Linked DNA regions of Struthio camelus. The protein of the gene in region 1 purifies or fractionates together with the protein of each later gene. This does not show direct contact. Links are inferred from orthologs where the notes say so. Each region holds a gene or a part of one and is shown on either strand. Other genes may lie near its edges.

Evidence for each region. The genes of interacting proteins can lie anywhere in the genome.
Region 2: the proteins of LRIG1 (region 1) and ERBB4 purify together in Homo sapiens (affinity purification with western blotting; 3 studies listed by BioGRID and IntAct, with this or other methods). This does not show direct contact. The link is inferred for Struthio camelus from reciprocal best matches to the Homo sapiens genes LRIG1 and ERBB4.

What each region holds. Positions count from the first base shown.
Region 1 is NC_090955.1:13,778,719-13,786,001, forward strand, and holds the start of LRIG1 (leucine-rich repeats and immunoglobulin-like domains protein 1), read right to left. Parts: upstream 3,001-7,283; 5' UTR 2,986-3,000; coding exon 2,795-2,985; intron 1-2,794. UniProt on the Homo sapiens protein: Acts as a feedback negative regulator of signaling by receptor tyrosine kinases, through a mechanism that involves enhancement of receptor ubiquitination and accelerated intracellular degradation.
Region 2 is NC_090947.1:5,984,278-5,991,175, reverse strand, and holds the start of ERBB4 (receptor tyrosine-protein kinase erbB-4), read right to left. Parts: upstream 3,012-6,898; coding exon 2,915-3,011; intron 1,842-2,914; exon of another isoform or gene 1,777-1,841; coding exon of another isoform or gene 1,764-1,776; intron 1-1,763. UniProt on the Homo sapiens protein: Tyrosine-protein kinase that plays an essential role as cell surface receptor for neuregulins and EGF family members and regulates development of the heart, the central nervous system and the mammary gland, gene transcription, cell proliferation, differentiation, migration and apoptosis.

The DNA of each region.
Region 1 (7,283 bases):
ATACAGCATGATTAAGTCAGTCCCAGAACTCTGCCTAGTGTGCAAGAGCCACATTTCTAACAGTTCAAACAAAGGCTTTATCTGAAACACACTGAAAATCGACTCCAAGCACTGCTTCAGCATTGTGGCACTAATTAAGAAGGAAAAAAAAAAAAGATAAACTGCTGGGGAAGGGTTTTCTAAAGCACTTTAACAAAGTTAAAGCACAGCCACCAAAAGTCAGGGAGAATAGGATTTAGCTCACCTCACTTAGCCATCTAACATGCCCAAGCTTATCACCCCGGCACAGCAGCAGGCAGGAGGCAGACACCTTTGGCAGGAGACATGGGATGCCCGGCTACAACCGCCTGTCTCGTCCTGCTCCCTCCTGAGGGACCCCAGCGAGGGGGTCCACGGGACCCACATGCTAGGACTGCATCCCCATACTGGTCTGGGGCTCCTGCACATCTTAACATTTGCCTTTGACTTCTTTAAAAAGGCACGTGCAAAATAAAAACTGACTGACACATTTACATGGAGATAAAGTCATGTTTCTTCAGCATACGGTGTTTTTATAGAGAACATTAAACAACTATTCAAAATGAGTTAGCAACCCACTGCACCAGAAATTAGCGTTTATGAGCCTATGAATCATGAAAGATGAGTGCCTTGGTTTTGTTTCTCTAAACTTAAATAATTGATTTTTAGTGTATTAGAATACTACTTTAAAAACAAAGTACATAAGTAAATAGCTTAAATGTCTGCCTTCTATATTCATTAGGAAAAAGGAAGAAACATGAGTTTTGCATTGTCAGATACAAAAGCCATCACAAACTTCCACTTTAGCTAATTCTTTGGTTAGTTTAGAATTTACAGAGTGACAAATCATATTTTATCTAAGTGGTTAAACGATCAACAGCCCACAGGTCTGTAGTAGTAGATTTATATGCATGATGAGTTCACCAATAAAATTTAAACTGAACTCAAGACATTCAAAAATCTGTTCCATATGAATAAGACACTCGTCGGTATTAGCACTCCTGAAAAAAACACAATAAGTTTGTTCAAACTGGGCTATAAATACATTTCTCTACGTGAATAAAGATGCACTGTCCTATTTTAAAAGGACTTTGGAATTCTGGAATTATGGGGAGAAAATTAAAAACTTTATATGAAGATTATCTAAGGCTGAATGAAGGATCTGTACTGTGCAAGAGAACACAGCAACAGGTGAACACGATGAGTCAGGCATTGGACTACGAAGGGCCAAACGCTAGTCTCAATAATTCAGCACAGCACCCAATAATTTCATGTAAAATAGGGCATTTCTGCAGCCAAAATGAATAATACCAAGAGAACCTGACAAACCCCTAATAATTCTATTTATTAAAAAGTTGGACAATCTCCAACAATACCGCAGTGACCATTTTCTCTCCCGACAGAGGTACGGAGTATCTGTTACAGCTAGAAATTTTATAGATTTAATGGAAGAGCTGAGACACTTTCCTCTCCCTTCCTGGGTCTTCATTTCCAGAGGTTAAGGAGCTAATAGTTAAGGACACTTACTTATATGAGTGTATGAACACACACACTCCCAGTTCTGATGTATTAAGACTGTCAAATGAATTGAGCTGTCAAAGCCGAGCACACTTCCCCCCCCTTCACTTGTCTCATTTTATACTTCAGATCTTATCAGGTCAGGTCACAGCACAACACTCCGCAGTTACACAACAGGAGTAGATCCACTGCGCTTTACAGGAAATGGAAATTACACTGTTCTTCACTTGCTGAGTGTTTGTGTGTCTATACATTTAACTACTTTAAAATATCATTTTAGAGGGAAAAACCCGCAACGGCCCTTGACTAACCACTAGGTACCATAGCACACGTTTAGCTGCCATCTGCTAAACCATGACATTTGGCAGATTAGTATCTTCAACAAACAGACAAGAACAGAGGGAACCACAAGTAGCCAAGTGAGCTACAACTCTCACTCACAGCTTTTGAGAAAAATCAACTTCCTCACAAGCTCCCCAAAAGCACCATGACCACGCAATACAGTTTAGGAGCCCGCAAGTCCATTTCTGCCAACATTTTCCTGCTGACTTTCACACCTTAAGAGTTTATGGCTCAAAACACCAAAATCGAGCGCCTGGCCGGGAGCGCTCAGGTCCATATTTGGGCACCTTGCGAAGGGCCCGGTTCTCAGAGCCGCCGGGCAGAGCTCGGGCGCTCACCAGTTTTGAGAATCAGGCCATTTATTGACATGTCCAAATAAGGATTCAGGAGCCCAAGTCCAGTCATCCAAAGCTGGCCTTTTTATCTGCAGCACATCATATAATTAACAACAAGATCTGCTCTCATCTCTTCCCCCTACCCCCCATCCCGAGGGGTCAGTATAAAGGAACAGAAGGAAAATAAGTCTAAAAAGGGACCGGCTGAGAGAAAACAAACTCCCGCTCAGCCCAGTACAGCTGGAAACGCAACCACACGGCAACCTTTGCCTTATCTCCATCCCCCGTTCAACTTTGGAGGCAGATAAGAGGAACACCCGAGATTTCATACCATGCACTCAACAGCTATAAGCAGGCAGAAACTAGTGTCACTTAGAAGAAAGAAAAGGAAGGAGGGGAGAAAAATAAAAGGAAATTTGGGGATTTTTTTTTCCTTTTAGGAGAACTTCCGTGCGCTACCCTACCCGGCATAAAACACGCAACACCCAGGCCCTGCGCGGGGCAGCCCCTGCGCGACGGGCGAGCAAGGCCGCGCCGCCCGCCGCCCCCGGCCCCGCTCCGCCGCCCCCGCCCGTACTCACACGTGCCGCGGCCAGCGGGGCAGGTCCCGGGGCACTTGGGGCAGCGCCAGCCCGCCGCAGCCCAGCAGCTCGCCGCCGCCGCAGGCGCAGCCGGCCGGGCAGCCGGCGGAGGCGGCCGCGCAGCCCAGCAGCGCCAGCAGCAGCGCCGCCGCGGGCGCGCACCCACCGCCGCCCCGTAACGGCACCGCCATTTTGTATCCGGCACCGGAGCGGGGTCGGCGGCGGGCCGGGGGGGGGGCCCGGAGGAGGGAAGGGGGGGGCAGGCGCAGCAGTCCGCGCTAGCCCCGCGGAGCCCTGCGAGCACGGAGCGCTACGCCGCCCGCGGCATCGCCTCGGCCCCCGGCATCCACCCCCGGCGGGGCGGCGGGCCGCAGCCGCGCTCCCGGCGCCGACAAAGTTCCTCAGCGGCGGTGGCGGCGGCAGCAGCGGCGGGCGCCTTCTCCGCTTCCTCGCTCCGCGCAAGGGCGGCCTCAGCGCCGCTCGGCTCCGGCCCGCGCTCGCAGCGCCGCCCCCGCACGCCTCCGCTGGGCTGAGAGCCGCTGACGACCGGCCTCGCCGCTGCCGCCGCCGCTACTGCTGCTCCGCCGCCGGGCCGGCCCCACCGCGCTCGCTCCCGCTCCGGCCCCCGAGCGCCGCTCGCCTCAAACCCACGTTGGCTACATCGCACCGTGCGGCCGCGCCGCCCCCCGCGCCGCGCCGCCGCCCATTGGCTAGCGGCCGCTCGGCGGCCTGCCCGCACCGGCTGCGATTGGCCGCGCTGCGCCGCCCCCTGCCCCCTCCCCGCCACGGCTCCGCGGCGCCCCATTGAGGGCGGCCGCCCGTCAATCAGAGGCGCGAGGTCCCGCCCCCCTTTCCCACTCCAGGTGTGAACGCGGGAGCGTCCCCCCCGCCCCACGCCGCCCCTCTTAAAGGGGACGCTGCGGCCCGCGCCGCCTCGGGCGCGCCCTCCCCTCGGCGGGTGGGCAGCGCAGGGCCTGACCCTCCCCCCACCCCCACCCGCGTGTAACTTTCCCCAAATGGTTGAAAAGCCCCTGAGAGCGATCCCGAGGTGCTCAGCCACGGCCTGCGCTCTCTTGACCAAGTCCCCGCTGCGCTGTCACCAGCCTCTTGCCGCTGAGGTAAATCGGTGAGCTGCGCGTCGTCAGAATGAACTAATCGCTCGGGTGAACTTCGGACCCAACTGAAGTGGCCGTTTCCTAAATTTACCTTTTTTATTTTTTTTTTAAGCCAAGTCCCTGGTATGGCCGTTACTCTCGCGGCGCCTGCTGCCGGTGCAGCAGTGAGGGCCGTGCCTGGGCCTCGCGCCGCCAGGCCTCGTGTGGGCCCACGCAGGCACCAGGGCCGCTGCCCCTGCCGCGCGAGACAGGGCTTGGGTCGACTTTGGACCCGGCCCGTGCGGCGTTTTGGGGCAGGATGCTCCCGCTTTCCGCAATGCGGGCGGTGAGGCTGTTTAACCGCACGCAGTGGCCCTGCTTCGCAGCTGGAGTTATGTGGGGATAAAAGGGGTGTGATATTTTAGGGAGAGAAACAAATATCGTAGCCTGACCTTTCAAGTGTGGTTAGATTTCCATTCTCCAGTGCTGATTCTTCTCCATGGTGGGGCTGGAGACATATTCGGTTTTTGTAACAGGATGGGGCACTGTACCTAATCATGCTGCTCATCTTCCAGAAGCGGCATATATCTTAAAATAAAATAGCACGCGTGAGGGGAATTTTGTTAAGGTGTGTTCGGAGTGGTACCCAAGCTGCACAAACATGCCACCTCTTGAAAAGCAGCAAACAGAGGCTGAGCTCATCTAGAGAAAGTCAGCTCATCAGCGTGTGGGTGTGATGGCAAATCTGCTGGTAGCCCAGTTGAAGCAGAAGCCAGAGCTGTTCAGTTTGGCACCCAGGCTGCCACCCAGTCACTGCTGTTCACCTGCCACCAGCTATGCGGCCCTCAAGCTGAATTCGGGAAGCATCTCTTTTCCAGGCGGGTAGAAATAGGACTCCGAGTTTTGGCAGCGCCCCGAGTCTAGCGAGGAGCATGAAGTCATGTCTACTCTCCATACCCGTGTATGGAAATCTGCCCAAACTGACAGCATCGCCTTCCTTGGCTGGAGAGCGCGTGAGGCAAGAGCTGTGCCGCGGCAGGGCTGCACAAGGCCCGCAGGCTCCAACGGGAAACCCACCCGCGGCTCCCACGGCTCTCGCAGTGGCGGCAGTGGCTGTGCTTCACTCCAGTAAAGCTCCTAACTGTCAGCCCCCCCTCGCTCCATGGAGAAGCTTCAGTTACCAGCTGCCGGGTCTGGTCTTCATGCCATGGCTCTATTTGTAGCCCACAGGCGTTCACACATGCTTCCCAGACAGCGCTAGCAACAAATTCTCCATTTTGCCTTTTCTCCTGTGCAAGATGTGGGAAACCTGCTCCTAATTTGCCAGAATGAGAGGGTTTTGGCTGCTGTGCCCCATAGCTAAGGATCCTTCAGGTCTCCCAGTAAAGCTCTCCCCGGCAGGGGCAACCAAGGTTGAGCAGGTTGAGTGGTTCTGCCCTCTCCTGTGCTGGGTAACTTTTTTGCCACTGAAATAGTTTGGTTCCTACTTAATTAATTCCTTTTTTTTTTTAATTCATGCTTAATTAATTCTCCAAATTAATTATAGATAAGGAATGCAAGATAGGAAACATTATCATCTACTGACAGGGGAACTGAAGGGGAGTAGAGATTGCAGGCCAGCCTCTCAGAGTGGCAAAAAGTTTGGACTTTTTAACATCAGGCTTCAGTGGTCCTGCCTATAGTCCCAATGAGCCAAAAACTGGGCAAAGGTCTTATGAGTCCCTTTCCTTCTACTTTGATGGTGTGAGAGGAAGGTGTGAGAGGAGACGCATCTTATTTTTGGAAGCTGTGACTCTGAATGAGGACTTCTGCTTCTTCTGCTTGTTTTCCTTCTTTTCTTACAGATTTCTTCTTTGTTTCTTCCAGATTCATCAGTGGTGCTGCTGTATTTCATCTGACAGGGCACAGAGATCTTCTTGCCTACTGGGACTACCTTGGTAATTACTATAAGAAATGGATATGAGGCTACAGATAGGCATTACACAAAGGTATCTTAGGCTAAAAGTGATGCTCTTTGTTCTAACTTGTGTCAGAGACATCACTAAGGGGCAGCCCTTTATATATTGATGTGTTTCCAGTTCACATAAATGATAAGTTTATGATCACTTGGGATTACATTTATATACCTTGATTCATTGCCATTACAATTGCCTAATGAACATGTGTGCACTTGTTTGATACATAGCAAATGGTGTGTACATGCCACTAAGTTATGTAGCCAACCACCTGCTGTAAACAACATTCAAAGTTGTCCTCAGACCCGTAGAGCAACGAGGCTTTGGCCACGTGGGTGGTGCACAGTACTTCTGCCCCCCCTGAACCTTTGTATCATTCCTCTTGGCTACTTCCTCTTCTGGGATTAGCACGTGCAGTGTGTGCATTGGTGAAAAGATGTGCATGCAAAAATCATACCAAAGAGAAATGGGAAAAAAGGAAAGAAGAGAAATGAGAAAAATAGAAAGAAGTCTGGAAATCCGGAGGGAGAAAGAGATTTGGCCTTGGAAGATGACATGGATGAAATCTAGAAACTGAATTTATTGATGTCCTTGTGGGGAAGGATCTTAGTCCGGTATGGACACTTTATGATTTTCACGTCCCTCCAGAAAGCTCGACCATCTACTGCAAAAAGAAGTGTTAACTATCACTGGAGTAGCGTTTCCCTTTTCTTTCCTATTTACTCTTGCCAGTCCATCTGCACAGCAACTATCTGGCTTTTGGGACAGCCTTGAAGGGATCGGATTGCAGAGATAAACAGGAGATTCTTAACCTCTAGAAAGGCTTCTCCCATCCAGCACGGAGGTTACTGAGTCCTTCAGGCACTCTATATCCGCAGACAGAGTTGCACTCGTGGGTGGCCAAGCCCCATGCGCTGAGCCCTCGCAATGCTCACCAGCTCTCATGCCCTCTGTAACCAGCTGTCTCCAAGATCTCTGCTCAGAAAGTGTTTCACAGGGGCAGCCAGGGTCTTTTGGGCCCTGCTGCCATGCAAAGACTTTCTGTTAGGTCCCTGATGGCAAACAGACCTTCCAGTGTAGACACTGCATATATTGTCTGGGCTAGGCCCTAAATCTTTCTAGGAAGAATCAATAGGCATTATTTATAGACCTGGGCTTTTTCTAGCTAAAACTTTGAGGGTTAGGCTTTTGCTACACCAAGAAATAAAAAATTCACAGCAGTGTGGCTTTGGATCCTATTTCAGCCTTCAAGAAGGGGAGAAGATAGGAGAATAGCTTAGGTGTAGTCCTTTACTGTATTTGAAAGTTGTTTGTGAACTAAGAGCAAACAGTTCCTGTCCCTGTGGAGGGAACCTCAGTCAGGAAGGGTAGATGTATTACAGAAAATACTACAGACTTACAAAAATATATAGCCAATTAAAAAAAATATCTTTAGTTCTT
Region 2 (6,898 bases), on another chromosome or scaffold:
TTTTGTTTGCTCACAGGCGTGTAATTCGGGTCCTTATTATCACTGTTTTCACATTAATTACAAGCGCAGCTCTTGGTGCCAGAATCCATATGCACGAACATCAATTATCGCCTCTTTAAAATAAATAAAGAGCAGTCCCGGCTAAGTAAGTCGCTCAGGTACTCGGCAGCTCCGAGAGCTGCCTCGCGCCGCCGGCTGCCGGAGACGTCCAGGTCCCCGGCACAGCTCAGCTCGGGACGCCAGGGGACGGCTGCGGCCGGAGCCGCAGACACGGAGGGCAGCGGGACTCCCGTGCTGGACCCGGAGCCCCTAACAGGATGCCGTCCCCTCCAGCAAAAAGCTGAGAGGAGACTTCCCCTCTGCAGACAGCGAGCCCTTTAGCCGCGGAGATAGGCTGAAACTCCCAGTCAATATTTACCGTGCGTTTGCAAAGGCGCTCACAGCTCAACCTAATTTTAGCCATGGGACAGGCGTCGGGGCAGAAGGACCAGGAGAGGCGCCAAGGAGGGCGGCTGCAAAGCCGCAGAGATGCCCCTCTCCAAAGGCACGGGGCACGTCCCGCCTGACGCGGCCCGGAGAGCGGCAGCGGCCCGAGGTCACAGCCAGCGCGCAAATCGGCCTGAACGCGCTCTTTGCTGGGGGGGGGGGGGGGGGGGGACAAAAAGTGCAAAAACATTTGAAGTACAATTAATTTCTTGGAGCAGCTGATACTTCAAACAGCGCTAAGTTAATTTGGCTGTAATTATTTAACAACTCAGCAGTCCCCTATATCACAAGAAGGACTTAATTCATCAGCTATTTTCAAGCAGAACAAAGGCTCGCCAGCTTCCAGGTAACAGCCCAAGCTGTTTGGCTCACGTGACCCCGTCTGAGCTGCGCACCGCAAACATTATACGCCTGTGCACGCAGATAAAAGAAATCAAAAAAAAAAAATGTATTTATGCATTTACATCTCAACCAACAGACACAGGGTAATGAAAACCAAAGTTTGCACGACCGCTCACTCGCATGAGCGGAGCTGCCGTCATCTCCCTCGACGCCCTGCGAGCCAAGGCAGCGGGCAGGGCCCGAGCCAAAGGCTGCCGAAAACCAGGGTTTTAGCCCCCAATTCGACTGGGCCCTCAATACTTCAAGAGCAAAGCCCACCTGCCCAGCCTGACTCACTGCTGCAGCGAGCGCCAAGCAGAAAGAGCCACTCGAGAGCAGACACTGGCCGCAGCGGCCCCCAAGCCCCTTAAAACACAAAGGGTCGCTCCAACCCTGTTATTTTAATAAATGGATTTCCTTTTTACACGCTGCAAGGAACAGAGGCTTTTTTTTTTTTTTGGACCAAAAGCAACCAGGAGCCTTCCTCCGAGGCGGCCTTGGGAGTCGGCGCGGGGAAGCGACGCAAGCGCCCCTGGATCGATGCCTTTTATTTTCACTCGGGTATAAATCTGGGCAACGGAGTGGCTCTGCAATTGTCCACTCAGCCAGCCATATCAGATTGATCAAAAAAGGAGGACTGGAAAGCGACTGAGCGAGCGCCAGCAGTGCCAGAGTGGAAGGTTGCTAGGGGAGAAATAACAGGAAAGAGAAAGGGGGAGAAAGGGGAGGCTACCAAAAAGAAAAAAAAAAAAGTAGAAGATGGAAAAAGTATCAAGTCAGTGGAAGAAAGAGGCTGTGCAGGAAGAAACAAGGAGGGAGGTGAAAAAAAACCACATGCCTACCACGGAAAACAGCAAACAAGAGCCTGGGAAATAAGGAAGGCAGTATTCCTTTACCTATTAAAGCCATAGGAGAAGAAAACCTAAGAGCAAGCAGCAGCAGAAGTCTGGTGTTTTGCCTCTCCTGATTTCAAGAATTAGGAAACGATCGCCCGCCGAAGAAGGAAAGCACACGCTAAAAGCAAAAACGCCTGCGAAACCCAGCTAGGAAAGCTGAATTTAAAAACCAAAAAAAAAAAGAAAAAAAAGAAAAAAGCCGGGACGTGCTTATTTGACTTCTCTTCAAACACAGCACCCTCTCCGTGACATAAAACCCCGAAATACAAACCCAACCGCGCGAACGAGGAGCTGCCGCCCCAGCGCTGCCCAAACGACATGAATTCTGCGGAATTGCCAGGGAAAGTCCCGTCCCCCCCCCCTTGCCCCCCGCGGATGCCGGGGGGGGGGGTTCACGGGCCCCCTTTCCGCAGGAGCGGGCGCTCCCCGGGGCCCTGCCGTGCGCTGCTCGGCCGCTTCCCCGAGCCCCGGCGCGCAGCCCGGCCGCGCACGCAGCGGCGCAACTTTTCTCACGGCCGCAAGTTACACGCGCCGCCGCGCTGCCTCCGCGCGGGTTTGCTTGCGTGCTGGGGTTGGGCTTGGGTTTTTTCCTCTCCCCCCCCACCCCCAATCTCGCTTCTTCTTCTTCCTCCTTTTCTCTGAAAGGGATTGAAGCGCGCTGCGCGCAGCTCGCGGCGCTGGGGGCCCCGGGGCGCGGAGCCGGGCGCGCACCGCCCGCGACCCCCGCGCAGCGCCGCGGCAAAGGGCCGCCCGCCGCCAAAGCCTAGCGACTGCAGTCCTTAATAATAACGGGAATAACAGGGTCCTCCGCCCCCGTGGAGGCAGCCCCCGCCGGACATATCCCCCCCCCGTCCTCCTCCCCCCAAGACCCCGGCCGCGGTTTTGCTCGCCGCCCGCTTTCACTTCCCCGCGGGACCAAACTCGCGGCGTTTGCGCGGCCGCGGAGAAGTTGGAGGGAGGCGGGCGAGCCGCTGCGCGCTCCCCCTCCGCGGGGAGCAAACAGCAAAATAATAAGTAGCTGGTGCCTGAATACTTCTTTTTTCCCCCCCCCCCCCTTTTCTTTTTCCGCGCTCCTCTCCGCGCACCCGGCCGGGGGGAGGGAGGAGGGGGGCGAAAGCGGGGCCCCTCCGCGGGGGAGATCGCGCACCCACCTGCCTGCGCCGCGGCGGCCCGCGGGGAGCCGGCCGCCGCCGCCAGGACGCAGCTCCACCACAGCAGCCCCCCGGCCGCCGCCGCCGCCGCCGGCATCGCGCCGCCGCCGCCGGGGCAGCTCCGCTCCGCTCCGCTCAGCTCAGCGCTGCCGCCATCGCCTCCGCGCAGCCCCGCGCAGCGCCCGAAAGTTGTCCGCCGCCCCCCCCCCCCTCCGCGGGCGCGCTGCGGCGGCGGGGGAAGCAGCCAGGCGGCGCGGCGCCCGCTGCGGGGAAATACGCGCGCGGGCGCCGCGCGGAGCGGAGCACCAGCACCAGCAGCAGGAGGAGGAGGAGGAGGAGCGGGAGGAAGGAGGGCGGGAGCGGGGCGGGGGCCGGCGGCGCGCTGGCCCGCCCCGCCGCGCCGCGCCGCGCTGCGCCCGCCCGCACCTGCGGAGCGCGCCGCGTACCTGCGCGCTCGGGGCGGCGGCGGCTGCCACCGTGCGGGCGCGGAGCAGCGCGGGGGCGACGGTGCGCGGCCGGGTGCGCGCGGTTGGACCCGGCAAAAGTGAGGGGCGGCGCGTGCTTGCCCGCGCGTGGGCGCGCTCGCTGTGCTTCGCCTCCGCGTTTTTTGCGCGCCCGCTTTCCCCCGCAGAAGGCAGCGGCGGGTGCGCGCAGCTGCGCCTGTGCCCCACTTCCCCCCCCCCCCCCGCCCCCGCGCCCCGTGCAAAAATACGGGCTGGATGCGCGCTTCGACGCGGCGAGGGTGGGGGGCGACACGCCGCGTCGGGGCGCGCCGCCGCGCGTCGCCCGCCCGTGCGAGAAGGCCGCGGACGCCTCCGGTGCGAGGCGGGACCGGCGGAGCGAAGGCAGCCGGCTCCGGGAACGGCAGCCTGCCACGGGCTTTGCCCTGCCACAGGCTTTGCCCTGCCACGGGCTTTGCCGCTTCGCGGCCAGCGCGGCGCTCGGCGGGTGGGCGGCCGGGCCGGGGGGACGCAGCGCCCCGGCTCGCGGTGGGCCGTGCGGCTGGAAGTCACCGGGGAGAGGGGAGAGGAGAGCAGAGGAAGAGCCTTAATTGAGCAATCAGAAGAGCCAGCGCTCAGCTTAAAATCCACCCTAAAATCCATTCACGCTCCCCGTAGCCTCCCCCACGAAGCGTCTTTCCCCGTGACCCAACGGTCCCCCCAAAGGGCAGCTTCCCGGCACCCGCGATTCCCGCCCGAACTAAACCGAGCCGACGGCGCGGCACGCTGATCTGGGCAGGTCCCCGTTAACGTCCGTCACCTGCCTGCCGTCCCCGTCCCCGGGAGGGAGCTGGCCGTCGAAAACTGCCCGACCCAGAGCGGAAAGAAGCCGCCGGCCGGTATTTTGCCCGAATCGGACAACTGTGAGCGCAATGGCTCCCAGGGGGGAGCCCGCTCGCTGCGGGACGTAGGCTGTCGCCACCAAAGCGGAGGCTGCTGCTGCTCGCGTTCACCCCGATGCGGCCAAGCGCCGAAAATCCTAGCCGAAATGAATTAATGGCCGAGGGGCGAGCAGCGCGGGCGAGCGGCCGAGGCCGGGGCGAGCTTCGCGTTGCGGGACGGGGAGGCCGCGCGCGAGCCCTTTCGGGCGGCCGAGCCCCTCCGCAGGGCAGCACGAGGAGCCGAGCCTGCCTCTTCCCTGCGCGCCGGTTATTCGGGCCGCGAGAACGAGGAGCCGGCCCCGCTCCCGCCGGAGCAGCAAGGCGAAGCCTCTCGCCGCCTAATTCCTTTCCGTCGCGTCCGCGGAGCCGACGGGAGGCGGCGAGACTAAACTCCTTCAAATATTTAAATAGAAAACTTGCGCTCCAGCCGCCTTTCAGCAAACAGTGACTAATTGCTCCGGCTGGGGCTGCCGTACCCGCAGGATCGGTGGCGGCAGATCCAGCGGAGATACCCGGGGCTCCTCACCTAACGCTGCCTGTACAGTCATCGGAAAGGTTTGCTGGGCAAAGTTGGCCACGCAAAGCAATTGCCGCCCTTCCCACACCGCCCTCGTGTTTGTGGAGTACGTGAGCCTCGCCTGGGCTCTCCCACCGGGAGCCGAGCAGCCAGCGTTGGCTTTTTTAGAGCCCGGGGCGATGCAAGTGAGTTATCACGCCGTCCTCCATCCTTGACGCCGCCACCTTGACCGGTGGCCAGGGCACTTAGCGCCGCGAGCGGAGGAGTTGCGAGTACCGCCAGCGCCGGGGCGCGACGTCGCAGCCTGGGGCGCGGGGCGTCTTTAAGCTCCCAATACCCTCTGGCCGGCCGCAGGAGTTTTTTTTATTTTTTCCGTGTGATTTAATATTGAGCAACAGTGGCATCCGGTGGGCAGAGCGTTTCCTCTCCGACAGCCCGTGGCAGCGCTCTCCCTCTGGTTTGACTTACGTGTCCTGCAGATTATTATTAAACACGATTTATCTGGATTTAGGGATTCCCCCCCGCTCCCGGCCCCTATCTCCAGGCCGTCCTTCAGCGGCGCACCAGACGCAGCCGGGGCGATTTCTGCCCCCAAAACGTTACGGTTTTGGTTTAAACGCGCTCGGTGGCCCCCTGCTCTCTAATCCAGAGGCAGGAAGGATTTACTCGGTCGCCGGCTCCCTCCGCGCTTTGTCCTCGCTGCAATTTTAAATCGCTCCGGCCATAAGCGTCCCCCCGCTCGCCCGCGACTCCGAAACGCTAGATTTTCTGAGAAGCGCCTTAAAACGCCTCTGCCCCGTCGCAGCACTGATCTCCGGCCGCTGGCCCACCCCGAGGCAATAGGTTTTGTTCGGCCCCCGCAAAATCGTAGCCGCTCTGCCCAGCGTTGCCCGGCTCGCGCTTCTGGAGGGGGGAAGGAGGAAACGTGCCTGCGTTTCCCCGCCGGCTCCAGCGCCGCTGAAACCGCCCTCGCTGCTGCCTTCAGCTCCTCCTGGCTCCGTGTCCTGCTCGGACGTGATGAACACAGTGTTTACCGTGCCCTCCCAGTCATTAATGAAGCTGCTAATTAAAGGCAGGCCCGAGGAGGAAGGCAGCGAGGCCCCGCGGCGTCGCTCCCCTCCGGCGTTCCCCCTTCCCTCTGCGCTTAGGTGCCTTGCAGGCCATCTGACGGTCCTCGTGCCGCCGGCGTTCGCAGAGTCCCCTCCCGCCAAGTAGCTCGCTTTTATGGCACAGCCGCAGCTTTCGCTAATCCTCCACGAAATGACTTTCTTTTTTTTTTTTTCTTTTTTTTTTTTTTCCCCTAAAGTAATCTTTTTTCTTGAGAGGTTGAATTAAAAAGGGTCATAAATGACTTGCAAGCCTAATGGTAATTAATAAAACTGAAGAAATAATTGGCCGTTATTTTTACACGTATATGCCTAGAGTCAAACTCCTAAATCCCCGTGTCGGTGGGAGAGGGCTGGGTTTCCCCCCACCACGAAGCAGCAGCCGCGGTTCCCGGGGCCGTACCAGCGGTGTTAAGAAAGACGCACGCAAAAGGCTGGGGAAAACGCCGAGTGATGGAGCAACGCTCCCCAAAGCCGCAAAGCTGAGCCAAGGGAGAGCGTGCCGGAGCACAGCACAGGCAGAAAGGCAGCTACCGCCCCTCCGTGGGCCGACGAGGATATCCAGATGTCCGGCGTGGATGGAAACCGGTGCTTTGGAAGCTCCTGAGCTACTTACTCTCGAAAAACAGCACATTTAACCCATCGCGCTTGCCCCCGCTGGAGACCCGAGCCCGGGAGCTCGCGCAGGAGTTCGGAAAGGGATGAGGCATTTAAGGGCAAGGCAGTTATATACACGTAGGTAAAAAAAACCAGAAGCGATAATAGTCTTTCGTGGCTCAGAGCATAAATCAGCCTTTTACTGCTTTCCCTTCAGCCACAAACACCTAACTCAGGGGATTTTTTTTTTTTTTTTTTAAATATCCGTTTGCGAAGTATCCGGACGAGACCGTTCCCAGGGAGCGGAGGCGGCACCGTCGCTCTGGCCCGGCACCGTAAAGCCGAGGATGCCGCCGCGCCGCGGGCCTCCAGCCCTCTCGGGC